Alligator mississippiensis: one gene and its partners. The protein of the gene in region 4 purifies or fractionates together with the protein of the main gene of each other region. This does not show direct contact. Links are inferred from orthologs where the notes say so. Each region holds a gene or a part of one and is shown on either strand. Other genes may lie near its edges.

Region 1 (7,530 bases), on a different chromosome or scaffold from region 4:
TAAACTGCACATGTAAGTTGATATGAAAAAGAATGTTTCTGTACTTAATCATTCACAGTACTGATAATAAGACAAAGTAATGCAATGAGCACCAACCTTTTTGGCAGGAGTGCCACATATTAGCTATGCACCCTCCAATAGCCTTTTCCTACCTGAACTGCTTTCTGTTTCTTGCTCTGTTCTCCCCATCTCATCTCCTGCTCTGCCTTCAGCCTCCTGCCCTATCTGCTGCTGTGCTGCATGTCCTCTTCCTGACCTACCATGTGCCCCACACAGAGGCTGCCCGTGCCACTTGTGCCACAGATAGACCACCCTGATATAATCCTTTGTTGGATTACATATATGTAAGCTATGTATGGTAAAATCATAGTACATGGAATGGATAAGAGAAGGTATAAATGTATTCAGCTACTTAGTCACTGAACTACCAAAGGCTGGTTCCTCTGAGAAGCAGACCTCATTGAAAAGTGCAAGAGTACCTGTGCAACACCTGTAACTTGGCTAAATTTTTAACTCAGCAGAATACTGCTGCAATTACACCAGTGAACTAAGTCAACACTTTAAAACAGAATATAAATGCTGGTGTGGGACTTGTACTCACTTTTAGTTCGTTCATAAGCTAAGAGCTTGTGCTTCACTAATTCCCTCAAAACTTTGTTACATCCGCCATATTTAAGGCTAGCTATGGAGGCAATCAAACTAGCAGGAACAATTTCATGGTTCTTCATGCCCATTTCTACCTGGGATAGAAATAAAAAAGTTAGATGTACAATAGTTTTTTGACTAGCTAATGAAGTAAAGTCATTCTCTACATCAAGCCTAAGCTTATTTTTGCAGATAAATTGATACAAACCCCACATGGTAAATAGCATACATTTTTCTTTTATTAGCTCTGCGTTTAAATGCATTAGCAGTAATGAGACAGTTCTTTGATAAGAAAATGACAGATAATGCAGATGGAAAACCTCTTGTTTGGGGGAATATAAACATACGCCCTTGGTTGTGCTTCATACTTGGGAAATTCAGCAGGCAACTTCCATACTATTTAGGAAACAACCCATTACTTAAAAGCCAACAGGAGTGACAGATGATAGGATGAATGTTTCTCCCTCACTCCCTACAGCAGGGAATCTGAAACTAGGGATTGGTAAACCAGGGTTGCTAAGAGAAATTCAATTGGAGTTGCAAGGCCCGACAAAGTGGGATCCAGCTTGGAAACCCTGGGTGACTGCAACCCAACTTTTCTGTTGCTTTAGAGCAGTGGTTCTCAACCTTTTGACTCAAGGCACCCATCAGGAAATGCCAACTGTTACTTTTCATTTTTTTTTTGAGTGTGGAAAAATAATACAGCAATTCTTGTTGCAAAAGACCTAGAAAGCTACCACGGGTCAGCGTGTTTCTAATACTGGATTCCTAGCTAAAATCTCGTTTTACCCCGTGAATCATGTTGGCACAGCTACTGGTGTTAACATGGCGTGGCACTCCAAGGTGTTGCAAGGAAAATTAAATCTGGTCATGTCAAACTGACCAAGCTCCCAGAAGTCTTTTTGAGATGATTCAGTTAAAGACTGGCAATGATTGGCCTAAAGTTAACCCCAGTAAAATGCCAGGGAATATCCAGAACAATAAAACAATAAATTGAGATAACGTGGTGTCCGTTGGGATTAATTAGTGTGGGAACAGGACAATAATGGGAAAATAACAGAAGAATACTCCAAGTGCGTAAGGCTGTTTTATTGTAAACCTATGATCCATATGCCAAACACTACATAACAAGCTTGGCTAGTATTAGAAAGGGCGACATCACTAAAGGGTTAAATAGCATAAGCAGGATCGCTGTTTGCCATTTATACCATCTGCATGGATTTCTAAGGGAAGATCAAGCCTTCGGACTTGGAGCAGCGCAACCCAGGAAGCTCACTCAGTGTGGCTAACTGTGGGGAGTGACTCCTGAGTAACAGCTCTAGACAGACTGTGATGCAGTGAGATTCACGTTAACACGCTCAGTTTTTGTGACTGCCTGCTTACACACTGGCAAGCCCAGTAAAGCTGACTACTTATTTACTGGCAAACCCAGTTGATTAGTTGCTTTGTACTTAGTGGATATTTTTGTAGTTAATATTAAGCTTCTGACTGCTTATTGGATGAGTACTGTGGGTTAATCACATAGTTCTCCCTGCCCTCTGAGAAGCAGGGCTCAAGTTTCAGCCCAACACATGGCACTCTTGAAAAGATCTCAAGGGACTCTGGTTGAGAATCACAACTTTAGACATTGTGTTATAATGATACCTTCTTCTCCAAGTTTCACTTTGATGATCCTGGAAGCTTCAGATTTACTAAGGAGATGCTTTTGTGTCCCGTACCCCAGCGATGGGAGCAGTACCAAAACGGGGACAGGTTTTTGCAAAGGATTTGCTCTCACTGCTACTGCCATTTGAATTCAATGTGTGGTACCAACAGTACCTGTATTAGAGCAGGTGTTTTTGGCCATCAGCCTCGCCCTGCAACAGCTCATGCAATGCAACGCAAAGCTGAGACAACGGGTGGCTGCCAGGCTGAAGCATCTCCCTCAAAGTGTTTGCTTTTCAATGGCTGAGTTGAAATGAAATCTCACAGGAAGCCTTCCAGGCAGAGCAGGGCATTCAGGCCAGCTCTAGCCGCCTGTATCAAGAGGGGAAAGCGAGCCTCCTGCAGTGGCAGGGGACGGATCTCAACATAGGGACACCGCGGCCTATCTTTTCCCGGCGCGCTGCGGTCTCCCATCTAGCAAAGATTCCCTACCAGCCCCTGCTCAGCTCCGCAGGCCGCGCTGCCGGGCGCACCACGAGGGCAGCCAGGCCGCTCCTTACCGCGGTCAGCACCCGGAAGTGGTCCCGCGCGAGGTACCGCAGCATCACCACGTTGAGCTTGCCCATGGCCCCGGCGCGGATAAGCGAGACCAGCCGTACCGCACACGTCCGCGCCCCAAGACCGACCGCTTTGCACCTGCGCAGAAGCTACGAAGCCGAAGCCCTGCGCAAGCGCAGGAGGCGGCGGCGAGGGCACTTCTGCCTGGGGGGGCGGTCCTGACAGCTGCATAAACAAACGCGCAGGGGAGCCTCACTACGTCCCGCTTGCTCCCCGCGCGGAGACACTGCAAAAGCCAGCAGGCCCGTGGGCAGCCGCGCGGTGCGAGACAAGCGGACTCCCCTCGCGCCCCAGCTGCTTTGCGGGGAGCTCCCGCAGGGTCTTCCAGGACCCGCTACCCAGCGGCAGCGTTGCCTGGGAGACGCGCAAGGCGAGCCGCTGCTTTGCTCCCCCCGAAGCGGCGTCCCCGCGGCCTGGGCCGAGTGGGCCATGAGCGCCCGGGGCCTGAGCCGCCGCGCACAGCCCGCGGACAAGGTAACCCTCGCCTCTAGCGCGCCGCGGAGCACAAGCTCGCGGCGGCGGCCAGTGCGCCTGCGCTGCCCGGGCCTGGCGGCCAGTGCGCCTGCGCCATGGGGGGCGGTTGGGCGGCGAGCCGTTCTGAGCGGCGGCTTGTCCTGGGCGTGGCCTCGCGTTGCAGGGGTGGAGCCGCGATCTGCGCGTGAGCCAGGCGTACCATCGCTACCGTAGTTATACGATAATGTCAACGCTTGTCAGACGTGCGATCAGTAATAGTAAAAGTGTTCAAAATGTACGGAAGTTTTGAGGCAGGTAATTGATGCCTCGTGCACAACCCAAGTCATTCCCAGGGAGCCTTAAGTGGCTCTTGGTTTTGCTGTCAGCACTTCCTTATGACTACTTGCCTTCAAATACAGGAATTCTTCAACTTAAACTCACTCACTCGAGTTGCAGTGAGGAATAGGAAGTAAATAAGAAGATGTGTGTGTGTGTGTGTGTGTGTGTGTGTGGAAAGCATGTGATAATTTTTCAGCAAATACAATAATTTTGAGCTTCCAAATCAATAACTTTACACTTAAGACCTGGCAATGCTGGCCAGCACTCTGCAGGAAGCTGTGCGCCCCACACCCCACACATGCCTCTTGGTACCTGCCAGTTACCCCTTGGGCATGAAAGGAGCCAGTGCAGTCCAGTTCCCTTTGTGGCACCAGCCTGCCCCGTGCCTGAGCCCATTGTATAGCTTGTGGGCTCTATCCTGGGTGCGCTCAGTCAGGGTGGGGTGCCCTGATCCCCCTTCCCAGGGGGACTGTGTACTGGTAGGGCTGCGGGATGGACACACGTGGATCACAAGATGAAGGTAGGGTAGAATTGCACCTTAGAAACGAACTAGCATGTGCATGTGTTCACCTGCAGGCCGATCTAGGATTTTGCAAAGCGGGGACAGATAGCAGGGGGCTATAACGCTACACAGATTTTTCTCCAGGTAAAAAAGAAATTAGATATTTTGCTGGGGGCAAGGAGAGACCTAGCATTGCCTTCACTTTACTGTAAGTGAAAACAAATTCAGGTATTGATCGTCTTTGTTGCATGTTCTATATTAAGAAATATGACGTGCTAGGCAAAAAAACAAACAAACAAAAAAACTCAAAAGATGTTGTTTCCTTAGGCCTGTGGTCATGAGGATTGAATGCACTCCTCTTTCAGATTTGTAAAATCAGGTCAAGCTGCCTTGAGCATCTTGACAGTGCAGCCAATGCTTCACTAAGGACTGAGCTGCGCATTACACTACACTTCAGGTGTAAGTAACAGGTTAATGACGCCTTGAGTGCTGACCTGGCTGCAAGTTCAATCAATAAGTGGTGTGATGAAAAGAGGAATAAACTGTTCCAGAAAATGTCATGAATACGTCTTTGCATTCTCCTATGCCTGAAGAAGGGTGCATGTGCCCAAAAGCTTGCAAATGAAGAGATTTTGCTGTTTGTTTGGGTTTTTTTTGTTTTTTTGCAACTGTCTAGTTGGTCTAATAAAAGATATTGCCTCTTGCATGCTGACTGCTTGTATTGTGTTCTTTGACTATCACAGCTAAAACCTCTATCCCACAAAATGTGTAATAACTTTTGTGGCTGCTTCCTGTCATGCCATGAACTGAATGTGTGGCTAAGGACCCCTGTGGCTGGGAGCCCCATCAGCTGATTGGAGTGAACATGGGCTGTGGTCTCCCAGCTGGAGGAGCGGGGCCAGGTTGGGTGTGTGGTGCATCTCTGTGACTGGGAGCCCTGCCGGCTGCTGTAGTTTCAGTTGTCAGAACTTGATTCTTGCTGGTGCAGGGCGAGTCCAGAATTGTGCTCCCCCTGTACCAACAATTGTGGGATCTGATTTCCAGTCCACAATCATGCCTTCTGCCATGCATGTGTCATGGCAGGAGGCATCATTGTGTAAATCTTGCATTAGATCCCATCCATCATGCCTTTACCTGCACTTGTAGTAGGTCCCCAGAAGTTATTTCCGCACTGGAGTTTAATGTTTTCAGCTAGAGTTAAAAAGAGTCTGCAGGGTTGTGGAGTAGGAGCTACACTACTAGAAATAGCTAGCAGACAGAAGAATTGTGTAAGAAATAATAGCTTGATTAGTGGAACATTTAAGGCCATTAAAAAGATAAGGTTGTTAATACCTGTGGAATAAAGCGTTTAGAAAGAATCAAGTAATTATAATGAGTTGTGAAATCAAGTGACTCCCTCACTGCTGCCTGAATAGAAATCCTTCTATCACTGCCAGGCACTTTGTTTGAAACTTTGGGTTGAGTGCAATCAAGAAGGAGTTCAAGTGCACTGCCACTACCCCTTCCCCTCTGTCATATCTGCTGTTGTATGTATGTGCAAGTCTTGTCGTGAGCTGCAGTCTCTCAGCCATGGGGTGTGTGGTGTACCTCATGTGGTTGGGAGATTATATCACACACTTTCATGAGCTGTAGCTTATTTCATCAGATGCTGTGACAGGATGTGTGGAAAGCAGAATATAAGGAGACTAGCACAGCTAGCTATGCCTTACAAGATAAACCCCAAGACTTCACATAGGGATTCCTTGTGTTGCAAGCATTCTGCCCAGCTCTAGTCTTTCTGAGGTATCTGCAGGGGAAGAATTGCCTTATTTTCCTCAGCCAAAACCGAGGGAAAGGGAAGCTGGTATCTTCTGAGAGTGTCTCTCATCTATGGAAGACTGCTGCTTTAACTGAAGTGCCTGGCATCTTTGGGCCCTGCTGTTTGGCAGTTATGCACTGCAGGCTAAATCCATGGTCTCAATGTCCAGCCAACTTGCAACTTTGTACTAGTACAGTGACCGTGTGTGGGGTCTTAGCTCTCTTCCTATTATACCAGGGCATTGGAACTTCTTAACCCTACGCGGGCCGGGTGCGATCCGGGCCCTTTTCGAACCGTGCGGGCTGTGGCCAGCAGCCCGGGCACGCTGGATCGGAGAAAACGGGCGACGTGCTAGAATTAGTCACGGACGCGTAGTGGTTGATTCAAGATTGTTTACTTACACTGAAGATGGTCATGGTGTAGGCTGGACAGTTTTCCAGGCACAGCTCCGATTAAATCCTCGTTTGAGGACTACGACAAGCTCGTGTCTCTCCCATGGAGTGGTTGAGACTCCGTGGATCCTTTTGCGCGCAGGGAGAGGGATACGTCGAGGATTGCAAACGGCGACAGGGAGAGGCTAGAGGTTGATCAGACCTCTGTTGCCTGCTTGAAATGCGCTGGGTCCGATAGGCTCCGCAGCGCTTGGAAATCTTCACACAGCGTGAAGATCCCTCCTCCTGATGTTCGTGGAGTCCTCCAACTTGGGCGGAAACCACTCAAGCTTTTTATACGGCTAGCAAGCCAATCACTAGCCGCCACGTGTGAATAATTTCACACGAGCCAATAATGGGGCTCGAATTAGAATACAAATGGCGGGAACTTCTTGCAATGTGCATTTCTTAGCTGCAAAGAAGAAATGCACGCTGCAAAGAAAGCTACAAATTGGCGGGAAAATAATTCAGTGGCGCCAAAGCACACAAAACAAAAATCACACCCTTGGGTTGTGACAAACCCATTATACTCAGGCTCATGTTGGCTGTGTGATCAACTGCATGTCTTAGTTGGCATATCCTGATACAATTTATGTCCCATGTAGCTACCAGGAATAGGGTCCTACATTCTCTTTAATCTCTACAAAGCCATGTAAATAACTATGATTTTTTAACATTCACTAATAAAGTTTTAAGTTGATTGTCTGCTACTTAGTTGCATGGTAACTGGGGCCAGTAAGGCTGAAGGGGAAGCAGCTGCCCGGGGGCTGCTACCAGGAGCCTTAGAATTGAAAGAGCCTATAGTCCAGGGGTGGGCAAAATGTGTCCCACAGGCTGAATGTGGCCTACCAGGCCATTCTATCCAGCCCGCAGGGCCCCTGAAGTGTTTAGAAAATGAATATTTATTTGCCCCTGGCTGCCTGTTATGTGGCCCTTGATGGCTTGCCAAAACTCAATAAGTGGGCTTCCACCTGAAATATTTGCCCACCCCTGCTATAGTCCATGTCAGGCTGCCCTCTCTCCTTTATTGTCATGGCTGCAAATTTTAGCCATGTTATTGACTAGCTTCCCTTACTTGCAAGATTCCTAATAGCAGCCAC
Region 2 (7,843 bases), on a different chromosome or scaffold from region 4:
GTGCAGGCCTTCAGGGCTTATAACGTGCCCTGAACAAAAAGACAAATGTGGTTCTTTCTGGGGCTGGCCAACTACTACCGCCGTCTAATACCTTGACTTTTGGACGTATCCCCACGGTCCGAGCTTACCAAGGACTCGGCCCCAAGTAGGATTAGCTGGACAACAGAGGCTGAGGAAGCCTTCCGGTGGGTCAAGGAGGCAATGTGTGTGCACCCCGTGGTGTACACCCCAGACTTTTCAAAACCTTTTCCAGTACAGTCAGAGCCGGTACAGTCGGATGCATCAAAACCCTTTCTGGTACAGTCGGATGCCCAGCACGGGGCCGGTGGGGTTGTGCCCTCCTGCCCAGCCTTGTGCCACGCAGGGGGACTCAGGGTCTTCTGCGGCCCAGGCAACGGCCTGGGGCAGGGCTCTGGGCTCTGACCCCGTCTCCTGGGGGCTGTGGGTGGGTCACAGAGACATGGCTGGGGGGCACTGGGCAATGCGTGAGTCTGCTCGTGGGGGCCTGGATGGGCGCTCCTGCCCCAGCCCCACTCCACAGCGCAGGAGGCCCTGGGGCCAGTCCTGGGTGCAGGCAGGGCTGGAGCAGGGTCTCTCTGGGGCCAGGGTGCAGGGTGCAGAGCCCAACGCGGGGGTCCTGGGCCTGTGTGAACACAGCAGAGACAGCGCCAGTGGAGGGGGCACCACTGAGGTGGCAGGAGGTCCCTGGGTGGAGAAGCCTTGTTGGGGGGGAGTGGCCCCGGGAGGGGTGCAGGGCTGTGGTGGTGCAGGCAGCTCTCCAGGTGCCCAGGGCAGGTGGGCAGTGGAGTCCACCTGCTCACAGTCCGGGGATGGAGGGCAGCTTGGAGCCACGACCCCTCAGCACCCGCTTGCAGGGGTGGGTTTGAAACCTCCCTCGTGGTCCAGGGGATGTGAGTCTGGTCTGCGCTGGGTGCCCGGCCCTCGTGGCGCCCGGGCTGCCAGAGCAGCTGCTGCGAGCCCAGGCCCGGCTGCCTGGCGCTGGGCTCCCCAGGCTCGGGGGCCTTTGAGGAGCACAGCTGTGACCCCCAACAGACCTAGCGCTGGCCTTACAGGGGGGTCTGCCTCTCCTCCCCTGGCCCTGGGCAAGGCCGGAGCAGGTCTGGGGGGAGGCTGGGCCTGTGCCCTCGCCTGCCCCACGTGTGACCCCACACGGACCCGCTGGCACCTGGAGAGAAACCAGCCCTGGGGCTGTGGCAGGTCTTGCAGCGCTTGCTGTGTCCCTGCTTGGCTCTTTTCACAGCTGGGGGTTGTACAGACTTTCATCTATGGTCCTGACTTTGCGTGTGTGGCCAGTCCGCATTTATCCTGTAATTCAGCAATGAACTGCGCCATGTACGTAACATGTGGCATGGCCTGGGTCTCCCATCCACGCGGTACCCGTGCCCCACTCTGCTCGGCTGGCAGCAGCAGATGCAGACAAACGCCTTCCCCAGGGGCAGATTACAGAGGAAGGAAGGGAGGGTGAAAGTGCGGTGATGCAAAGGCTGCTCTTGGCCGCAGTGGCCTGCCCAGAGCAGATACACTGCTACCGTGACATTCATGGAAGTGCTACCCCTCGGGGGGTTGCAAATATATCTCGTAGACACTAGGGCTGGAAGGGACCCTGGAGGGTCATTGAGTCCAGTCCCCTGCCCCAGGGGCAGGAAGTCAGCTGGGGTCATAGGATCCCAGCAAGATAAGCATCCAGTTTGTTCTTGAAGGTGTTCAAAGTGGGTGCTTGCACCACCTCCGGCGGCAGGCTGTTCCAGACCTTGGGGGCTCGGACAGTAAAGAAATTCTTCCTTATGTCCAGCCTGAAACAGTGTTGGAGGAGTTTATAACCGTTTGACCTTGTCATCTCTTGGGGCGCTCTGGTGAACAATCGTTCCCTCAGCTCCTGGTGAACACCCCTGATAAACTTATAGGGGGCCATCAGGTCCCCTCCGAGCCTGCACTTTTCCAGGCTGAAGAGTCCCGTGGCTCTCAGTCTCTGGTTACATATACATAACTGTACCTCTAGCGCCCTCCCAAGTGACCGCTGTGGTTCACGGGGCAGACCGAAGCACGCTATGACAGTTAAACCACAAAAACCGGTTACACAATTTGCACCGCACGCCCATCTCCATTTCCGTACCCCCCTCCCCTCCTCAGCCCCCCTGCACAGCGCAGGAGGCCCCGGGGCCGGTCCCGGGTGCAGGGGGGCTGGAGCAGGGTCTTTCTGGGGCCGGGGCTGGTGCAGAGCCCAGCGTGGGGGTCCTGGCCCTCCTGCTGCTGCTGTCTGGGGGTGAGCCCGGGCAGGGCAGGGCGGGTTCCTGGGTGTGCAAACGCAGCAGCGACAGCGCTCGGGGTTCAGACCCCGCAGGGAAGGGGCCTGGTGCCAGGGTGCTGCCCCTGGCCCTGGGGCTGGCAGTGGGAAGTGTAACCCAGGCCGTGTCGAGTGCTGCTGCCTGCTGGGCTGCGCCGGCCCGGGACTGCTGGAGCTGGCAGGCCTGGACCCTTCTCACAGGCAGCACCTCTTGCATCAGGCAGCGCCACGTCCCCGGTGCGGTGCCCACAGGCGTCCTGTCACAGCCCATCCTACCTGCGGTCCTGCCTGCTGGCGTCACAGCCCTGGGGAGACGGGGTACCTTGCAGGGAGATGCTTGGGGGTGTCCAGCTGATCAGCACCATCCCTGGCTGCGGGTGTCACGGTCCCCAGGCTGGGGTGTGCTCAGGGCCCCTGTGGGCACAGGGCAGAGGCAGCAGTGGGAGGGGGGTCTCAGGGCCAGGGGGAGCAGTTGGTCCTGAGTCCTGCCTTCTCCCCCCGGCCATTGGACGTGCAGATGCCCCCGTCTTCACCGCAGGGCCCAGGCGTCCGTGCTGAGGAACAAGGTCTCTTGGACCCCTACTGAATGAGGGGAGCAATTAGTGACCGATGGGGGGACGAGGCTGAGCTCTTCACGGAGTTTTTGCCTCGGTGTTCCTGAACAGGGCTCAAGATAAGTCTCTTAATGGGCTCTTAGACGGGCACCAGAGGGACACCAGCCCGCCAACCCTCGACGCTGACTTGGTGCAGAGTCACGTGGATGGACTGGACGTGTTCGAGTCGGCAGGCCCGGACAAGCTGCGCCCAAGGGTGCTCAAGGAACTGGCCGGTGTCGTAGCAGAGCCGCTGGCACGGCTGTTTGGGCGCTCGGGAAGCTTGGGGCAGGTCCCGGAGGACTGGAAAAGGACCAACGTGGTCCCTGTTTTCAAGAAGGGGAGGAAGGAAGATCCAAGTAATTACAGGCCAGTCAGTCTCACCTCCAGCCTTGGAAAGGTCTTTGAAAAGATTATGAAGGATCATATCTGCGGGAGTCCAGTGGGAAAAATGATGCAGCGGGGCAAGCAGCGGGGATTCGTAGCAGGTAGATCACGCCTGACCAGTCTGGTTTCGTTTTATGCCAGGGTCACAAAATGCTTGGATGCAGCAGTAGCGGTGGATGTCGTTTTCTTGGATTTTAGCAAGGCCTTCGATACGGTATCTCATCCTAGTCTCATAAATCAATGAAGAGGCCGTGACGTAGATGTTTACGTGGTCTGGTGGGTGGTGAATTGGCTTAGCGGTCGCAGCCAGACAGTGGTAGTAGACAGGTCGGTATCGACGTGGAAGGGTGTGGGCAGTGGGGTCCCGCAGGGCTCGGTCCTTGGACCTGTACTCTTCAATGTCTTCATCAGTGACTGGGACGTGGGTGAGAAGTGTGCTCTGTCCAAGTCTGCGGACAATACTAGATTGTGGGGTGAAGGGCACGCTCCGGAGAGCAGGGAACAGCTGCAGGCAGACCGGGACAGGTTAGAGAAGTGGGCAGCGCACAACAGGATGCAGCGCAACAAGGACACGTGCAGAGCGCCGCACCGAGGGCGCAAACATACCCAGCGCACCGACTGGGTGGGAGCGACCCTCTCGGCAGCATGGCAGCGGACAGGGGTCTCGGAGTCGTTGTGGATCCAAGGTGAAGAGGGGTCGTCCGTGTGACATCACCCGCAAAGCTAATGGCACGTTACGGTGCGCTGGCAGGCGCAGGACGAGTAGACCGGGGAGGCGATACGTCCCCCGGGCGGCGGCGGTCAGACCGCAGGCCGAGCCCGCGTCCAGCTGTGGGTGCTGCACTTCAGGAGGGGTGTGGGCAGACTGGGGGGGCCGGAGGAGGCCAGTCGCGTGGTCAGGGGCTCGCTGCACAAGCCCTAGGAGGAGACGGAGGGACCGGACCCGTCAGCCTCCGCAGCAGGCGGCCGAGGGGAGCTCGTGGCCGCCCACAAATCCGTGAGGGGACGCAGCGCGGGGCCGGAGACGCGCCGTTCAGCAGGCGCCGCTGGGGTGCCAAGGAGCCACGGCCACGGGCGGCAGCGCCGGTGTCGGACAGGTGTCAGCTCAGACTGCCTCGCCGCGCGGGCGCCAGGACTCGGCCTGGGCCCCGGGCCCGCCGTCTCTCCCCCGCCCGGGGGCGGCCAAGGGGAGGCCGGGCCAGCTTGTCGCTGTCCAGGCACGGGTCGGAGGCGATGATCGCCGAGCGCCCGCCGCGCCCGCCACACCGGCACGGCACGGCACGGCACGGCACGGGCGCCCACACGCGCGGGGCGGGGCGGGGCCGGGGGCGGGGCGGCTGAGCCGGCAAGGCACGGGGCGGGGCCGGGGGCGGGGCGGCTGAGCCGGCAAGGCACGGGGCGGGGCCGGGGGCGGGGCGGCTGAGCCGGCAAGGCACGGGGCGGGGCCGGGGGCGGGGCGGCTGAGCCGGCAAGGCACGGGGCGGGGCGGGGCGGGGCGGAAGTGGCGCGCGGGCCGCACGTGGTTCCGTCGGGCGATCGGCATCGCGGCGGCCATGGGCAGGCCGGGGCGGCTGCGGGCCGGGGCGGCGGCGCGGCGGCAGCGCTGGGCCAAGGGGCGCAGCAGCGACTGCAACCCCCGCAGCGCCCGGCACCGCCGCGCCGCCCGCGCCCGCTTCTTTGCGGCGCCGCCCGCCGCCGAGCGCAGCGAGCTGACGGTGGAGGCGGTGCGGCTGCACGAGGAGCTGCAGGCGGGGGGCGCGGCGGCGGCGGCGGGGGGCGGCGAGGCCCGCACCGAGGAGTCCTCGCGCACCTTCCTGAGCGGCCTCAGCGACTGCACCAGCCTCACCTTCGGCCGCGTGCGGCGCCTCTGGGAGTCCAGCTCCGCCGCGCACAAGGAGGTGGGTCCCCGCGCCGGGCTGGGGGCGGCCGCGCTCGGGGCCCGCCGTGCCGTGCCGTGCCGTGCCGTGCCGTGCTGCCCTGCCGCTCCCCGCCCGCAGGTGTGCGCCGTGCTGGCGGCCGTGACGGAGGTGATCCGCGCGCGGGGCGGCAGCGAGACCGAGACCGAGTACTTCGCTGCGCTGGTGAGGGCCCGGCCCGGCCTGGGCGAGGGGTTTCTGCGGGGAGCGGGGAGCGGGAGGGGCACGGGGCAGCGCGGTCGCCTCCGGCCGGGGGAGGAGGCAGCCCGGTGACAGGAGGCAGAAAAGGCCGAAGCGCTCCAGGCCTTTGTGGCCTGGGTCTGACAGGCCAGGGCCGCAGCGCAGCGCAGCGTGGAGGGGGGAGCGGCCCGCGGCGGTGAGAGATCGGGCTAGGGACTGCTTGGGAAAGCTGGCCGTGCGCACGTCCGTGGGGCCGGATGGGTGCACCCGCGGGTGCTGAGGGAGTTGGCTGATGAGACTGCAGAGCCACAGGCCGTCCTCTTTGAAAACGCATGGTGATCAGGAGAGGTCCCAGATGACTAGAAAAAAGGCAAAGCTAGTGCCCCTGTCTAAGAAAAGGAAATAGAACTACAGACCAGGCAGCCTCACCTCAGTCCCCAGAGAGATCACGGAGCGGATCCTCAAGGAATCCATTGCTAAGCACTTGGGGGAGAAGAAGGTGATCAGGAAGAGTCGTCATGGATTCACCGGGGCAAGTCATGCCGGACCAACCTGATGCCTTCTATGAGGGGGTGGCTGGCTCTGTGGATGGGGGCAGACCAGGGGATGTGGTGTACCTGGATTTTAGCAAGGCTTTTGATACAGTCTGCCACAGCATTGTCGCGGGTGAGCTAAGGAAGTACGGGCTGGATGACTGGACTGCAAGGTGGACAGAAAACTGGCTGGAGCATCAGGCTTGGCAGGTAGTGATCAATGGCTCGATGTCTAGTTGGCAGCCGGTATCCAGTGCAGTGCCCCGGGGTTCGTCCTGGGGCCGGTTTTCTTCAATGTCTTCTTCAACGACCTGGAAGATGGGATGCGGTGCACCCTCAGCAAGTCTGCTGGTGACACCAAGCTGGGGGATGTAGTAGATACGCTGGAGGGCAGGGCTAGGATTCGGAGTGACCTGGACACACTGGAGGACTGGGCCAAAAGAAATCCCGTGAGGTTCAACAAGGACAAGTGCAAAGTCCTGCACTGAGGAGGGAGCGATCCCTGCACCGGTGCAGGCTGGGGGTGACGGGCTGGGCAGCAGCTCTGCAGAAAAGGACCTGGGGGGACAGGGGACAAAACGCTGAACAGGAGCCAGTAGTGCAGCCTTGGTGCTGGGGGACAGGACTGGTGAGGAGAGGCTGAGGGACCTGGGCTGACTGAGTCTGGAGAAGAGAAGACCGAGGGGGATTGAATAGCAGCCTTCACCTCCCTGCAGGGGGGCTGCGAAGAGGATGGAGCCGGGCTGGTCTCAGTGGGGGCAGATGACAGGACTCCAGCTGCAGCAAGGGGCTGCAGAGCAATGGGCTCCAGTTGCAGCAAGGGAAGTTGAAGTTAGATATCAGGAAGACTTTCCTCACGAAGAGGGTAGTAAAACACTGGAATGGGTTACCCCGAGAGGTGGTGGAAGCTCCATCTTTGGGAGTTTTCACAACCCAGGTACACAGAGCCTTGGCTGGGATGATGTAGTTGGGGCTGGTCCTGCTTGGAGCAGGGGGCTGGACTAGATGTGACCCCCTGAGGTCCCTTCACACCCTCATTTCTATGATTCTAAGTGCCTGGGGTCCCCCGAGCCCATGTCCTGGTAGGTGCCCTGTATTGGTGCTAGGCCAGGGCTGCGGTGTCCCCTCTTGTAGCCTCCCACAGACAGGCCTTGCCTGGGGGGCTCTGGGCTGCCCCGTGGGCTCGGGGCTCGGCTGCATCCTGGCGGCGTCCCCTGCTCCCGGGTGCCTCGGTCACGGGGCCTGGCAGGCGCTGCTGGGACCAAGGCAGCTGCAGCCGCGGGTGAGGGCTGCTTTCTTCTCCTGGTGCAGGGGTCAGGGAGCAGCTCCCAGTGCCCCCAACCGCCTCAGCAGGCAGCACCCAGCTGGCTCGGGGTGGTTGCAGGGCTCTGGGGGCTTTGGCCAGCAGCAGATCCCCCTGCTCCTGGCTTGGCCTGTCTGGAGGCTGGGCTGTGCCCGGGAGGCCTGGCTCACCTGCATCCTTTCTCTAGATGACCACGATGGAGGCTGTGGAGTCTGCGGAGTCGCTGGCTGCGGTCGCCTACCTGCTCAACCTGGTGCTGAAGCGGTGAGTGCCTCCGTCCGCCCTGCACACGGGCTCTCTCGGCTGCCCGGGGGCAGAGCTGTCCCAGGCCTTGTAGGGCAGCGCTGTGTGCGTGTCCTCGGGGGCAGAGGCAGCAGTGGGAGGGTTTTGGGGCCGGGGGAGCAGACGGCTTGGAGCACTGCCCATCTCCATGCCCGCATTCCTCCCCCATGGCCGTGCTGATGCCCCCGTCTCCACCACAGGGTCCCGGCACCCGTGCTGAGGAAGAAGTTCTCTGATACCTCAAAAGCCTTCATGAACATCCTGGCCTCGCAGGCCGGCAGCAGCTCCACCTCTGCCCTGCGCTGGGTGAGTGTCTCCGGGGGCAGTGGGCGCTGCCCTGGGAC
Region 3 (7,377 bases), on a different chromosome or scaffold from region 4:
CATCCATAGCAGCAACCAAAGAGAAACAGTTTGCATGCTCCAACTCTGTGAATGCAGCTATGTATTTGCAAGCTGCAGAAATATATAAACCAAGCATACTTACAGAGTGATTGTGAACATAATGCCAGGACATGACTGATGGAAAGTTCAGGCCAGGATATAGGTTATACCTACCCAGTAAACTTGCATGCCCAGCAGCAGCACCCTCAAGCAAGGTGTGCTGTTTCAAGGAGATTGCCACCAAGGCTATACCCACTTCTTTTCTAGACCTGAAGGTTGTTTCTGAAAGGTTATCTAAGGTATCTCCCAATCATTTGGTTTGATCCAGTAAAAGAAGTTATGAAACAAATCTTCCCTTTTGTTTCAACTAGATATAGTGTGGCCACACCTGTGTGGCTCTGTGAATGTGTGTGTGTGCATGGAAGGGGGGGGTGAAGGAGAAGGGCAGGGACAATTAGCTGTCCTTCTTTCAGCAATAATAATTAGCCAACCCACAGCACTGCATATAAACACACAGTTGCTTCTCTTAAGGAGGCTGTCAGTCCGGAATTGGGCAGTGTACCTGAGTGCCAATTTCAGGCATGGCAACTTAAGCAGAAACTTCCAGAGAAACAGACATGTGGAAATTCCTTAAGACAAACAGAGTTTACCACACTTTTAAAAAAAAATGTCTGATCATAAATACAACAATAGCAAAGCTGTTCATAGAACAACCAACTGCCACATCATCACCAGGGATCCTGGTTTTCTCTGATTTTAAAAGTATGCCCAATTTTTTAAACTGAAAATTAGGGATTTTTTTTTTTTTTTAAATCAGAGAAAACCAGGATACCTGCCCATCACTGCGTCATCCAATAAACCTCCAGAACCGTGCTTCATTCTGGATTCCTCACAGTTCTAAAGCAGTCTTAACTTACTGAAATAATCTTCTATTGCTGTCAGTACAACTGACTGAAAAATAGATATATACGCTGACAAATATTTTCAAAGTTGTTCCACCTACTGAAAATCCTGAAGGGTGAGAATGTTGTCAGAATATATTAAGCATGAAAGTTATTGTATAAATCTAATCTTCTCTGCCTTAATTAATCTTAAATATAAATCAAACGTTATATGCAGCTTTAGGAATAAGACTCGCTGGCTGCTAGCATGAGTTTTTAATACTGCTTGTGTTTTGAAATGTTACACCTTGAAATAACACAGAATGAGGGTTCCTGTTACACATTCAAATTAAAGCTGGATAGAAACCAGCTATAAAGTTGGAACGCATTTTCAAGCTCTAACTTTGTAGCTGGTTGGTTCTTTTTACAGTTGGACAGACATTTTTATGGCATGATAACTACTTTGCCTGTGTGGCCAGAGATACCCGAGGGTAAAGTAAACACCACAGTTGTGAACCAGCTCTGAAAACACTAGTACAGGGGTGGGCAAAGTGCAGCCTGCGGACCAGATGTGACCCTCCAAGTCATCCTATCTGGCCCCTGGGGCCCCTAAAAACTTTAGAAAATTAATATTTATCTTCACCTGGCTGCCTGTCATGCGGTCCTCAATGGCCTGCCAAAACTCAGTAAGCAGCCCTCCACCCAAAATAATTGCCTGCTCCTGCACCAGTAGAACAGAAGTGTTCAAAACCTGGATGCCCTTTCCCATAGGAAGTATACTTCTAGATTGTTTCAAAGTGGACATGAAACCCACTGGATTGGAAAAGAATGAATTCTACTTCCAATTATTGCCTATACAGAGCCAGAAATAAAAAACTTGCACTACCTTCATATACCCCACTGACATCTGTTGGACATCTGCAGAATGTAATGGTAATATATAGCCTATCTGCATATAATAAAAATGAGCTAATATTTGCTCCCTACACTAACACACAGCTACAGATCGCGCGCTACCGTTATTTCTAACCGGTCTGTTCCTTACCCCCACTTCCAGGGCCACTTTGAGTTTCTGTCCATTTTCTCATACTGACACCCCCCAACCTTCAGCACGTTGTCAACTGCTGCTATTTCATACTCTGAAAGTAGCCCATGCCTTTGTTTAAAACACATCTCCCATTCTCCCAGTGGCAACATTAGCCTTCTGGTGTGGCTCCTAACGTTTGTTGCTCTTCCGACTTGGGAAACAGGCAGCTAGGGGAAAGCTCAGGTAGAGTTGATAAGAGCCACAATTTATGAAGCAGTGCCAGTGGCACCCATGAGCAGATCTAGGACTCAGAAAAGTGGGGTGGGCACAGGGCGAGGTGCCTCATCCCATGAAACAAGTTTTTCTCCAGTTAAACTAGAAGCTCCGCTATTATGCCGGGGGGAGGGAGGGGAGAAGATGCGTTTTATCTGATATTTGGAAATGAATGCTGCAAGAGACCTCAGGAGGTCACCTAGGCCCACAACCCAGGGCAGTGGGTGACGTCCCCCTGCACCCCCCCCCCGAAGCGTCCCGCGCCCGTCGCGGGGTGGGGGATGGGACGCGGGGGTTCCACAGCTCTCCCTTCTCCCCCCGCCCCGCTGCTCACCATGGCGCGAGGCCCGCAGCGCGAGGGGACTGAACACAGGCCGCACGCCCCTCACATGCAACTCCCGACCGCCGCCGCCATGTTGGAACGAGCTAAGTTCCGCCTTTCGTGGGGGGGAGGGGAGGAAGATTAAACCCCGCCACCTCCGTTTGGTCGGCGAACAGCCATCGTCAGAGATGGTAAAAGGCGCCGTGGAGGGTTTTAGTGAGTGTTCAGCGCAGAAAAAAGGACTAAGAGATAACGCGTCATTGTTGCTGCCCCCTTCCGAACCGGCACGAATGGTTCGGCCCACTCCGCTAAAGCAACGAGGGAAGGCATGGGAAGGGAGAGGGGCTAAAGGAGGAGGTGCATGCGCGGAGCAGACGCTCGGGCAAGGTTCTGGATGCCGGCGCGCTGAAGTGACGTCAGGCACCGTTGGGGAGCGGAGCAGAACTCACCGCACCGTTCGCTCCTCCTCCAGGGTGGCTATGGTTGGTCACTGGTGGGCGCATGCGCTGTGGGCGCTGCTGGGCCCTGGCTTTGGGTTTTGCAGTCCTTGCAGTTACTGCGGCTAGAACCTCCGCCTCTCCGTGACGTCACAAAGCCGATCATGGGGGCCGGCGAGCCCATTGTCCCGCCCGCCTACCCAGGTTGCTGGGTGCTGTTCGAGTGGGCGCTTCTCGCGGGACGGCCAGGCTAATTCGGATTTACTCCTCTTCCGGCTGTGCGTGTAAAGGGCTGTCTTTGCCTCTGGGTACGACTCAGGCCTCGGGAAAATCACGCTTCAATTGTTGTTAGTCCGATGGGCCTGGGGTTTGACCCGCTTCTGAGTGGGGGCAGCACAGGCGTTTGCACGTGTGGTCTTCCCCAGCTGCCCCGCTGCCGGGGAGAAGGGCGCAGCCTGGATGGTGGCCCTGGAAGAAAACACTAGCTCTACTAGCTCATGCTAGTGTGAGGCCATGGCACAGGAGAAGCGTTAACACATTTTATCCTGCATAGTTCTAAGGGATTTGAAGTGTGACAATGAACCATGTGCCTGCCTGGTCTTGTCACACGAGGCTTTCTTCCTGAGCCAAAGGCCTCACCTGTGCATGGTGTGGGAGGGGGTACTGCTGCGCTATTTGTACCCATCGTTTCACAGGATCTGATGAAGTGAGCTTCAGCCCAGGAAAGCTGGGGGTACATCTCTCCAGCTGAGTCCAAAAGAACAGAAAACACTATCTGCTCTAAGTTACATCAATGGAAAGCCAAATTAACTGGTCTGTGAAAGGGCCTGCACAAAGCAGCGTTTAAGGAGGGCCCCCCCAGGTAGTAAATAGATCAAGCATTTGCTCTGGGACGCGGCCCCTATGTATGTGTAGGGCTCATGTGTTTTTCCCTGGAGTGAACTGGCCAGGCTTGCACTTCTTGGTAGGGGAGCAACATACGTACACACACACTTTGGTTACTCTGTAAGGTGTAAATCTACCCTGCCTTCATTCTGTTTCTTTCCTCATCCTGCAGTTCTGTAACCTGCAGTGAAAACGAGCGACAAGTGTACAGGAGAAGTGGTTTCCTGGTGTAAGAAACCTCTTTTCCTGTACGTGACCCACCAGTGCTGAAGCAAAGGGAGGGGCGAGTGGGGCGACCACGCCTGGTGCCAAAGTGAAGGGACGCCAGCGGGCGCTGCCCAGCCAGGGCAGGGCATGGGACAGCTGTGAGCAGCTCAAATGAGGGGGTGCGGGGACAGGGGAAGGGTGGTTCCCACTGCTGGGTGCACTACCAGGCAAGGGGTGGGGGCACGTGCCCCCCTGGATCCATGCATGGGGCAAGGGTGGGCTGCCGCTGCAGGCTTTGCCCTGGGTACCAAACTTCCTTGCTATGGCACTGTGACCCACCACTGATGTCTTCCGTTTGAGAATGACATGACCCTCTGCAAATCTCCTTCTCTTTAGTTTCCTAATTATCTCCTGTTCTTGGGCTTTCTACTCATGATGTGGTCTGCTCCTCTGTGCTTGCAGAATGGCGCCAAAAAGCCTCCATCTGCCCTGTCAGGCCACGTTGAACTTCAATTATAGGTCAGGGTTTAGCATGAGGGAGAAGAGGGCAAATCCCCTCACAAGCAAGTGGGTAGAGAGGCAGTAAGGAAGGATGGAGTAGCCTTGTTAAAGTATTAATGCTGGTGTGGGGAGAAAAGAATAAAGGAGTGTCTTCTTTGGTTCAAGGCATAAACCCCCAGTTGATCAGTTCAGTCCATAGGTTAATACTGGTCTTGGATTCCTTGCTCTTGCTACGTTCAGACAGAGTAGCATCCACAAACAAGACTTTCTGCCAGCATTGCATAGAGGCTGTCTCCCAACCTAGTTGATGAGGATCTAGTCTTAGTTATTTATGCCTTTATTTCATTTAGCTGCACTACGGCAGTGTACTGTGCCTGGTTAAGAAATCTTCAGCATTTAGGAAACTGGAACTACTATAGTGCGTGGCATCTGGTGAAATGAGTTGTTGACTAGAAAAGTTGCCTGAGCTAGGCAACCTTTAAGGTATTACCTTGCCCTACCTTCAGCATGGAATTAGCATAAAATAAAGCAACAACTTTCAGCAATGCAAGTTACTATGAGTATATCTGATCCGTATCTTTGAATCTTTACGCTGATTTTCCATAGCATAACAAATCAAGTGCTAGTTCTTGGTCTTTACCTTCTTATCCATGGTCCCAGTTTAGAATATTTTGAAAATTGTTTAAAACTTCAGGGCAGATGCTGTGCTTGACAGCTTTGCTTGTCAGGCACAATGAAGCGTTCTAGTAAAGGGGACAAACATCTGTATAGAGACAGAGCTTTCTCTGGGGCTGATCTCATGCAGGATGATCGCCTCAGGAAGTAAAGGACCATCACAACATGCACCCCCATTCACTTCAAATGTAAGATGTATTTCTTTAACTTGACCACCTCTAACATAAATACAAAAAACAAAATGCAAACAATCTGCATACTACAAAAACAGGAAATTCCACTGCATATACCTCCATTTCTAGGGAGTGGATGAGTAAACAACACCATGTGACAGATGTTAGTTGCATTATGTAGTGCAGATACATTTGCAGAAACTCTTGTAATGAGGTATAAAAACCTGTGTAGACTAGGATAGGTACTAAAGATAGCTATCTGTCTTTATATATATTTTAGAGGATTGGATATATCTTTAAATATAAAATGTATTTGATAATTTGGATCGGTTAATAAAGTTAAAAAAAAAGAGAATAAAATGGGCACAATAAAACTTCCCTCCTTGATCTGCCTTGGAGTCTGAAGAGTTGTTCCTCAGAAGGATCTCTCCAAGGCACAAATCTTCTCTGGTGCAGCTACTTATCAGTCCACATTCAGGAGTGAGTTTAAAGGCTCAGTCTAACCTAATGCATATCAGTTTTATTTTTCGAGCTCTTTAGCCATATTGAATAATGAGCTCTTATCTTCTATACTACTGATACAAACTCTGCGTATCTATACTATACACAGATAAAGATGCACAGACCGTGCTCTTAAGAAAAACGTACTTGAAGTTGTTCCTCCATTTGTTTGGTCAGTGTTGCTCTCTATGTATGGACACTGTCATAGTATTGTCTGTGCTGCTGATGCTGTACACAGCATGTGTTCCTTTGAAGACCTTGATGTTATAGGAAGAATGACCTTTGGCTCGATTTGGTGGTAAAGGCTTAGCCAGTTTCATTACTTAAAGCACTTACTAATTAATGCACATGGCCAGATGGTTATAAGGACTTAGCCCTGGATACTTGTGGCAAGATATTAGCGCAATTCACCTGGGTAAATTCGGCACCGTTGCTGCAGGCTAAAAGTTCTAAGGGTTTCCTGTTCCCCTTATATACATTGATCAAAACAACTTTGTTTACCTCAGACTGTTTACATCAGACATTTCCTGTATCATGTATTTTAACAGACATTACCATTTTTTCCTGGATCACTCTAATCTTTGGACATCCTGTTGTTATCTTGTGTGTTCTGACCCCTTAAACAGTCAGCCTTGTCAGGGGTCTTTGCAGTCTAATCTTACAGGCATACATTTTAGGGTTTTTTTGTAAACCAGTGGTGTTCAACCTCTGGCCTGTAGGCCAAATCCAGCCAGAGGAGCAGTGCCATCCTGCCTTGTGGGGCTCCCCACAGGTCTGGAAATTTTGGTAACAGGGTTGTCAGTGTTAACCACCACTTCCCTGCTGCCCAATTTTCAGGCCTGGGCAGAGCCCTGGGGCTTGGTGTGCTAGATTACACTGGCATGTGGGTTGGGCTGACGTGTGACCAGATTGCTTCTGTGGATTGACCTCACACATAGGATCTGGCCTGTGGACCACCCCTGTACCACTTACTCAGCAGCACAGGCTGGAAGATTGAGTATCACTGATGTAAACAGTGTATACATCCTGTTTTGGTCAGTGCTTTAGTAGAGCCGTTATGTGAGCAGTAAATGCCCTGATTAATGCTTGTATCGATCAATACTCCAGCAAGACCTACACCTGATATTTCAGGACTACAAAATAATTTTTTTTTTTTAGAAGGAAAGTGTGAATCACAAAACAGGAGACTTTCTTACCTTCAATACATCTAGAGATTATAAAAATGAATTTTAATTGGTTATTAGGAAATTAAGAGATGACATTTAAAAGTACTAATCAATTTTAATTTTGAGCAGTCTACATTATCACTATCTTGTAAGTATAACAGAACACTATTAATTCAGTTTCAATTACCTATAGTGTATATTTCAATATTTTTTCAGTAGATGTCGCCAGAGCTTCAGAAGCCCGTATATTTTTCTCTTTCTTACTCTGTTGTCATTTTCTGAAGACTTAAGTCTTTACCATGATTTAGTATGCCGTGTGTTGTCTTTGC
Region 4 (6,921 bases):
CGGACTTCAGACAAGTTCCCGAGCCAGGATGACATCCGCGCTGCCGAAGCGGGGGCTCCCCAGACCCAGCCCTTCGTGGGGGGGTGCCGGCAGGGGGCTCCCAGGCCCCTGGCAGGGACTGCATGGTTCCCGCTGAAGGAGGCACGCACCTCCTTCAAGATGTGGAGACACAAGCAGGTGAGTCCATGCTGGGGCCTGCAGCTGGCTGCCGCAGAGACCTGGACCCTAGAGGTCTTGCTGCTGCTCCAGATGGCTGCCCCCAGCTCTGCCACCCGCGTGGAGGCGGTTGCGGCCGCTCCCCTGCTGTGGTCTTCCCTGCAGCAGTGCCAGCACCCTCCCAGCAGCAGCAGCGAGAGGCCACACGGGTGCTCTGCCCCATGTGGGGTGGGCAGACCAAACGGGTGCTCTGACCTGTGCTTTCCAGGGCCTGGCACGTGTCCTGCAGGGCGTGGCCCTCATGGAGCTGATCAAGGATGGCAAGCACGGTCAGTTCTACCGCGCCAGGCTGAGCACAGGGAGCCACCGGGGACACAAGCTGGTCACCTGCAAGATTGGCCGCCGGGGTGAGGAAATGGTTCCATCTTCTCCTTCTTCCAGAGCCCCAGCCCAGGGCTGAGCTGGGCACCAGAGTGGGAGGTGCAGCATGAGTGCCAGCACTGGGCAGAGCTCGTCCCCGCTTTGGCCCTGCCATCCAGAGAGCAAGCCCAGTAAGCTGCCCAGGGCATTGCTGTGGACTCTGGCGCCTGTGCCAGGGACGTGGGAGCACCTTAGAGGCGGCAGAACGTAGGGGGTGGGGGCAGGACTGGCCACCCGCACAGCCGAGGGTGGCTGTGCTCAGCCCCTGCTGTGTGCCCATGGCTTCCCCAGGCCTGCCAGCAGCACGAGTGGAGCTGGAGGTGAGGATCCTGACGACGCTGGGCCACCACAAGCACATCCTGCAGCTCCTGGACTGGAACATGGAGCAAGGTGAGGGGAGAAGGAGAGGAGTCCAGCTCCTCCCGCCGATGCTGTGACACCCTGCTGGGCCACGGGGTCCCTGGGTGACCCTGGGCAGGTCTCTGGGTCCTGTCCATCCAGGGGTGGTTGCTCAGCCCTGCCTCGCCTGGCACAAGTGAGGACAGAGGCCTGCAAGGCCCTGGACGCTTCTGCTATGTCAGGTAGGCCATGAGCCACCAAGGCTACTGGCAGCAGGGTAGAGCCACCCCTCACTGCAGGGAGGAGCAGATGGGGCCTTTCAAGTGCCTTGGTTCAGCGATGAGGTGCGAAGGGCAGCGGCTGCTCTGGGGCCGTGCTGCTAAGCCTGGGGTCCACGTGGCACTGACCTGCTGCCACTCCCTTTGCAGAGCCCTATGTGCTGATCCTGGAGCACGCCGGCCTTGGCACGCTGCGCACCTTCCTCCGCTCCCGCCAGGAGCAGCTGCGCAGCTGTGGGGACCTGCAGGCTCTGCTCACCATGGTGGCTTACCACATCTCCCTGGGCATGAAGCACATCGCTGACAAGCAGGCAAGTGCTGGCAGGTGGGTCCACAGCTCAGGGGAACCCACAAGTCTGGGCGAGCTGCAGGATGGGGGGGAGCAGAAGGCAAGGTCTCGCCTGGCTGCTCAGACGCTGGCCCTGGCCTGTCCCCACAGGTGCTGCATCGGGACCTAGCACTTCGCAACATCCTGGTCAGTGCATTCCCGCATGGGTGCAAGATTGCTGAGTTCGGGCTGGCTAGGGAGCTGGGCCATGAGGGCCCCCTCCGGCACACAAAGGTAGGAGGCTGCATCCCAGCCTCTGCCGAGGCAGGCACGGACGGTGGACCAAGCTCTGAGCTGAGCTCTCCCAACTGGTGCTGGCCTCTGGTGCTCCTGCCTCCCCTGCCATGAGCTGTCTACATTACAGGTGGAGGTCCCCTTGCGCTGGTACCCCCCGGAGTACTTCCGAGAGAGCATCTATGGCCTGGCTGGTGATGTCTGGGCCTTTGGGATCGTGCTGTGGGAGATGGAGATGCTAGGTATCGCTCCAAGAGCTGGGCCCCACTTGGGTTTCATGTGGGGGGTGCACGTGTGTGCGCACACGTGCAGGGTGTGATGCCCAGGGCACAGACGCTCTCCTGGGACCCTGCCTGCTGGAATCAGCTTTGGGCATAAAGAGTCGTGCTCTGTGTGAGCTCCTGCGGGCCAGCACGTGCCTCTGGGAGTGTTGTCACCTGGGGCAGCCGAGCAGGGAAAGAGGAAGCTGAGACTGCCTGGCAGTCCTCACTTGCTTGGCTTGGTGGTGAACCAGGTCCCTCAACCATCTGAGCATAGTGTGAGTGCATGTGCTGCTGTGTGGACGAGGACAGGAACGTTGGGAATAGCCCTGTGCTGGGAGGGGAAAGGTCTGATAGGAGGGGACGGGGTCCCATTGCCTGCAGCAAGAAGGGTATAACACCCGGCTGGGCTTGGGCCAGTGCCCTGTCCAGACTGGCAGGGACGAAGGCAAGCCTCTGTACAGCTGGGTAACCTCCCCGTCTCCCCTTGCAGGCTGCTCCCCATACCCGTACCTGGACAACTCTGAGGCAGTGATGTTCCACGTGTGCTCGGGGTACCGGATGAGCAGGCCACTTGGATGCAGAGAGCAAATGTGAGCAGGGCTCTGCCTGCCTCGGACAGGGGCTCCTGGCTGGGGAAGGGCACAGTCCAGGCAGCAGCAGGTGGGGGAGAAGGGCGAGGGCTGCCTCCTTGCCCCCAGCACAGAGGGTGGGCCTGGGCCCTGGGGCATAGCAGCTGTTGCCCTCGGGCTGTGCTTGGGCCTGACTCCCTGCTGTGCGCGCCCCAGTGCCAGGCTCATGGAGCAGTGCTGGGCGGACGACCCCCGCGAGCGGCCGTGCTTCTCCGCTATTGTCCAGGAGCTGGAGGACATCGTGGAGGAGGATGCGGTGAGAGCACTTGCCCTTTAAGGACCTTGCTGTCTCCCTTCCAGGCTCTGCTGCTCCCCGCTCTCCTCCCCAGCACTTTGGGGCTGGCCTGGAGTCTGGGGTAGTCGCTAACCCATTGGGGCCGGGTCTGGCACCAGGCAAGCAGCTCCTGCTAGAGCACGGCCTGGCTCCGAACAGCGGCACCGGGACCGACCCCAGGGCACTTTGCCCAGCGGGCCACAGGCCGCTGTGGGGATTAATAGCCCCTGGGGGTGCCTGCAGCTGCTTCTGCACTGCTAGGTGCTGAGCAAAGTGAAGGGCTAGCGCTTTGACCCGTGCCAGGCACGGGGCCCCGGCTGCTACTCGCCCCAGCTGATGGCTCCTGCCCCTTGTCCTCAGGACTACCTACAGCTGGAGGACAGCGGCCACCCGCAGAGCCCTTCCCTGCTGCCAGCCTCTCTGAGCACAGCGTGGGGGCTGGTGGGCGACAGGGACGCCAGAGCCGGGCTCTACACCTGAGCAGCCGCGGGCTGGGCACGGACGGCTCCGCTGGACCGGGGCCCGCCGGCAACACTGGGGACCGGAGCGGGGCGAGGACAGCGCCGGGCCGGGGACGCGGAAGGAGAAGCTTCGCCGCCTGCAGCCCGGCCGCGTCGCCCTCCTGGGGCCGAGGGACCTGCCGCCGGGCTCGGGCTCCGGGCAGCACCGCCTGCCCCTCCCGGGGCAGCGCCTGACGCCCACGAGCTGCGGACACGTGTCACTCCAGACAGCAGCCGCCGCGGCCGAGACCCGGGCGGCGACGGCTGCGAACAAATAAACCGTCTCGCTGCCTCCCGGCCTGGCCTCGTTTCCTCGCCGCGGGGCCTCCCAGGGGCGGGCCGCCCGGCCACGTGCGCCGGAGGGGCACCCGGAAGCGGGGCGGAAGTGGGCGAGCACCACTTCGGGAGAGGGGCGGAAGTGCGGGCTGTCCCGGAAGCGGAAGTGTCGGGGCAGCATCAAGATGGCGGTGCCCGGCGCGGCGGCCGCGCACCGGCCCGGCGCTCTGAAGCAGCAGAACAAGCCGCACAAGGGCGGGAGGCACGGGGGGGGCGCCCAGCGCCGCGCGCCGGGTGAGTCGCGCCCGCTTCCGCCTCCCCCGGCGCCACGTGGCTGCGGGCGCGCCGCCCACGTGCTGCGTTCCCGCCCGCGCTCACCGCCGCTTCCCCCGCAGGCCGCGTCCCGGCCCCGGCCCTGAGCCGCCGGCGGCGCCGCGACCTGAGACGCCAGGACCGGCGGCACCAGGCCCTGCAGCTCCGGCGGCGGCGCCGGGAGGCGGTGAGCGGGGCTGGGTGCCCGGGGCGGGGGGCGGGACGGGGCGGCGGGAGGCCTCACGCGCGGCCGGCTGTGTCTGCAGGTGCTGGCCGAGAAGCGGCTGCTGGGCGGCGCGGACGGGCCCCCGCACCTGGTGGCCGTGGTGCCGCTGCACGAGGGGGCGCGCGGCCCGGATGCCCTGCGCCTGCTGCGGAGCGACGCCGCCAACCTCGTGGTCTCGGAGGCGGACGGAGCCCGCGGCTTCACGCTGCTCTGCCCCCGGCTGCGGCAGCGATGGCGCTTCGTCTTGGCACCTACCAGTAAGGGACCCCCCCTCCCCGCGGGCTGCTGAGCGCTCGTTGAGCGCCCGCTGCTCAGTCCTAACGATCGCCCCGTCTGCAGGGGACTTCCACGCGGTGCTAGACCTGGCCAAGGTTGCGGACTCGCTGCTGTTCGTGCTGCACCCAGAGGACGGCTGGGACAGCGCGGGGGAGAACTGCCTCTCTTGCCTCTTCGCACAGGGGCTTCCCAGCTGCGGTAGGTGAATTGCCAGCCTCAAGGCATGCACGGAGCAGAGCAGGGAGAGACGTTTCTAGGCAGCACATGCAGCGACCCATAGGCCTGTTGGGCAGCTCTTGGTTCTGGCTGCGTGAATGCCGGCTAGCTGGGCGAACGCTGTCGCTCTCGCTCCAGGAGCGTTGTCTGTCTGGCTAACGGCAGTGATGCCGAGGCATGAAAACTGCCCTACACCCAGGGTTCTGCCCGCTCATTATATCGAACCGTGTTTTAGCTGGTTGACTGTGGGTAGCAGAAGTACTGGCTGTTAACGCTGCTGTTTTCTGTGCTGCTTTTTAGCTCTTGCTGTCCAGGGAATGGCTGATCTTCCACCAAAGAAGCAGACAGAGGCTAAGAAGAAGCTGAGCAAAGCCATTGAAAAGCGATTCCCAGAGGCAAAGCTTTTCCCCTTGAACACAGAACAGGAATCTTTGCTGCTGCTGAGGCATTTGGCCGCCCAGAAGCAGCGGCACCTTGCTTTCCGTGACAGGCGGGCTTACCTGCTTGCCCATGCCGCTGAGTTTGTGCCCAGCCAGGAAAGTGACCTGGTTGGCACCTTGAAGGTATCTGGCTTCATTCGGGGACAGCCCCTCAACGTGAACAGCCTTGTGCACATTGTGGGACAGGGAGACTTCCAGATGAGTCAGGTCGATGCGCCTCCAGACCCTCTGTGTCTCAACCCCCGAGCGGCTAAACGTCCAGAGAGGAAGGGCCAGGATATGGAAATACAGGTGGGATGCTGTTCTGGGCTTTGCTTGGCCTTGCCAGCCCAGTTTGCTCCTTGCTGATTAGAAGCCTTGGGGTGGCTGCTGCAGGCTTTGTGCAGCACACCTGGCCAGCTTGGGAAGAGAGGAATTGACAGGCTGGAGGTTTGTGTAACTTCAGCCATGAGAGCTCTGGGTGGAGCGCAGCGTCTGTCTTGGGTGCGGTGACATGGGGTTGCTGAGGTTGGAGGTGGCTGTGGGGTGATCTTGTCTTTGCTATGAGCTGGTCTGCTGCTGGAGTGGGCTGGGCTCACACGGGGGGGCATCCCGGCTTCCTTCTGCTTTCCAGGATGAGCCTGGAAACAGCGCTGTCCAGATGGAGGAGGATGTGAAGGTTTTGATGAAGGCGGATCCCAGCAGGCAAGAGCTGCTGCAGTCGGAGGTGGTTCCGGACCCCATGGAGGGGGAGCAGACCTGGCCTACTGAGGAGGAGCTGAAGGAGGCAGAGGGTCAGTAGCAGTAGTCCTTCCTGGGCTTTCCTGCAGGCTCTTGGGGGTGCACTTGTTTTCTCTGAGATGCTTGGGTCGGGGGGAGGGGGTTTGCTAGTCCCAATGGAAATCATTTGGCTTAGAAATCCGATTCCTCTTCCCAGCCATGTCCTTTGGCTTTTGGATTGCCTGGCTTACTGCATTTGCCTCTGGGCTCAGGCTGGCTGGACAGCTGGACTCAGGCCATGGTGGTGTAGTAGCTGAAACGTATGTGCAGTAGCTGAGTCGGGAAGGGGAGCTTTCTGCGTGTTCCTCGGGTGCGTGCGGTTCTCCTGCAGTCTGGCATCATGGTTCATGTTCCCTGAGTCCCATGGAAGCGCAGGCTCTGTTTACTGGCTCTCCTGTGTAGTGAAAGGCACCTTGTGAATCCTTTCGCATGCTTAAAGCACGTCCTCTTCGTGTAGCTGCGCTAATGCGTAAAGGGAAGAGAGCAATGGCAGCCTAGGGCTGGCTTGGCTCTTCTGGTGCAAGGGGAAGGAGAAGCCTGAACAGTGCTAACGGGGCTGGTAATCTGGCAGAGGCTGTGAAGGAGAGAAGGAAGACGGTGAAGGTCCCCAAGGGAACGTCGAAGTACCAGGCTGCCTGGATTGTGGATGACGAAGAAGATGGCAGTGAGGAAGATGAAGATGGTGACAGCATGGAGGAGGATGACTTGATGGAGGAAGAGGCTTTTCAGGTAAGCGATGTAGGTGATGTTGCACCTGGTGTCTGAGCGCTGTGGTACTTGTCCCAAAGCACACCTGTATTCTGACAGGAAGAGGGAGGGCAGACTGAGAGCCACCCAGGTTCCCAGTCTCCAAGGGGTAAAAGGAGTTTAATCCCCGTTGCTTGCCTGCTCTCCCCTGAGCTCTGTCTGGGGCTCCCCTTGGCACTGTGATAGGCCGGCAGCCCCTGCAGAGCTGCGCAGATAGCATCTGCAGGTGTACGCTGCCAGTGGTTCCT

What was found.
Region 1: the proteins of TSR1 (region 4) and RIOK2 fractionate together in Homo sapiens (co-fractionation; 3 studies listed by BioGRID and IntAct, with this or other methods). This does not show direct contact. The link is inferred for Alligator mississippiensis from reciprocal best matches to the Homo sapiens genes TSR1 and RIOK2.
Region 2: the proteins of TSR1 (region 4) and RRP12 purify together in Homo sapiens (affinity purification with mass spectrometry; 3 studies listed by BioGRID and IntAct, counting the BioPlex papers as one, with this or other methods). This does not show direct contact. The link is inferred for Alligator mississippiensis from reciprocal best matches to the Homo sapiens genes TSR1 and RRP12.
Region 3: the proteins of TSR1 (region 4) and LTV1 purify together in Homo sapiens (co-immunoprecipitation; 4 studies listed by BioGRID and IntAct, counting the BioPlex papers as one, with this or other methods). This does not show direct contact. The link is inferred for Alligator mississippiensis from reciprocal best matches to the Homo sapiens genes TSR1 and LTV1.

What each region holds. Positions count from the first base shown.
Region 1 is NC_081826.1:238,079,023-238,086,552, reverse strand, and holds the start of RIOK2 (serine/threonine-protein kinase RIO2), read right to left. Parts: upstream 3,083-7,530; 5' UTR 3,079-3,082; coding exon 2,850-3,078; intron 741-2,849; coding exon of another isoform or gene 737-740; coding exon 602-736; intron 1-601. Other genes in the region: uncharacterized protein LOC102560227, read left to right, coding at 3,337-3,381. UniProt on the Homo sapiens protein: Serine/threonine-protein kinase involved in the final steps of cytoplasmic maturation of the 40S ribosomal subunit. Involved in export of the 40S pre-ribosome particles (pre-40S) from the nucleus to the cytoplasm.
Region 2 is NC_081829.1:100,665,360-100,673,202, reverse strand, and holds the start of RRP12 (RRP12-like protein), read left to right. Parts: upstream 1-4,823; 5' UTR 4,824-4,838; coding exon 4,839-5,183; intron 5,184-5,282; coding exon 5,283-5,366; intron 5,367-7,404; coding exon 7,405-7,481; intron 7,482-7,699; coding exon 7,700-7,805; intron 7,806-7,843.
Region 3 is NC_081824.1:124,111,701-124,119,077, reverse strand, and holds the start of LTV1 (protein LTV1 homolog), read right to left. Parts: upstream 3,022-7,377; 5' UTR 3,007-3,021; coding exon 2,953-3,006; intron 2,890-2,952; exon of another isoform or gene 2,519-2,889; coding exon of another isoform or gene 2,516-2,518; intron 1-2,515. UniProt on the Homo sapiens protein: Essential for ribosome biogenesis.
Region 4 is NC_081837.1:868,606-875,526, reverse strand, and holds the start of TSR1 (pre-rRNA-processing protein TSR1 homolog), read left to right. Parts: upstream 1-3,867; 5' UTR 3,868-3,882; coding exon 3,883-3,991; intron 3,992-4,092; coding exon 4,093-4,196; intron 4,197-4,275; coding exon 4,276-4,492; intron 4,493-4,574; coding exon 4,575-4,709; intron 4,710-5,027; coding exon 5,028-5,458; intron 5,459-5,780; coding exon 5,781-5,940; intron 5,941-6,497; coding exon 6,498-6,655; intron 6,656-6,921. Other genes in the region: uncharacterized protein LOC109285919, read left to right, coding at 1-177, 425-563, 868-966, 1,344-1,518, 1,633-1,651. UniProt on the Homo sapiens protein: Required during maturation of the 40S ribosomal subunit in the nucleolus.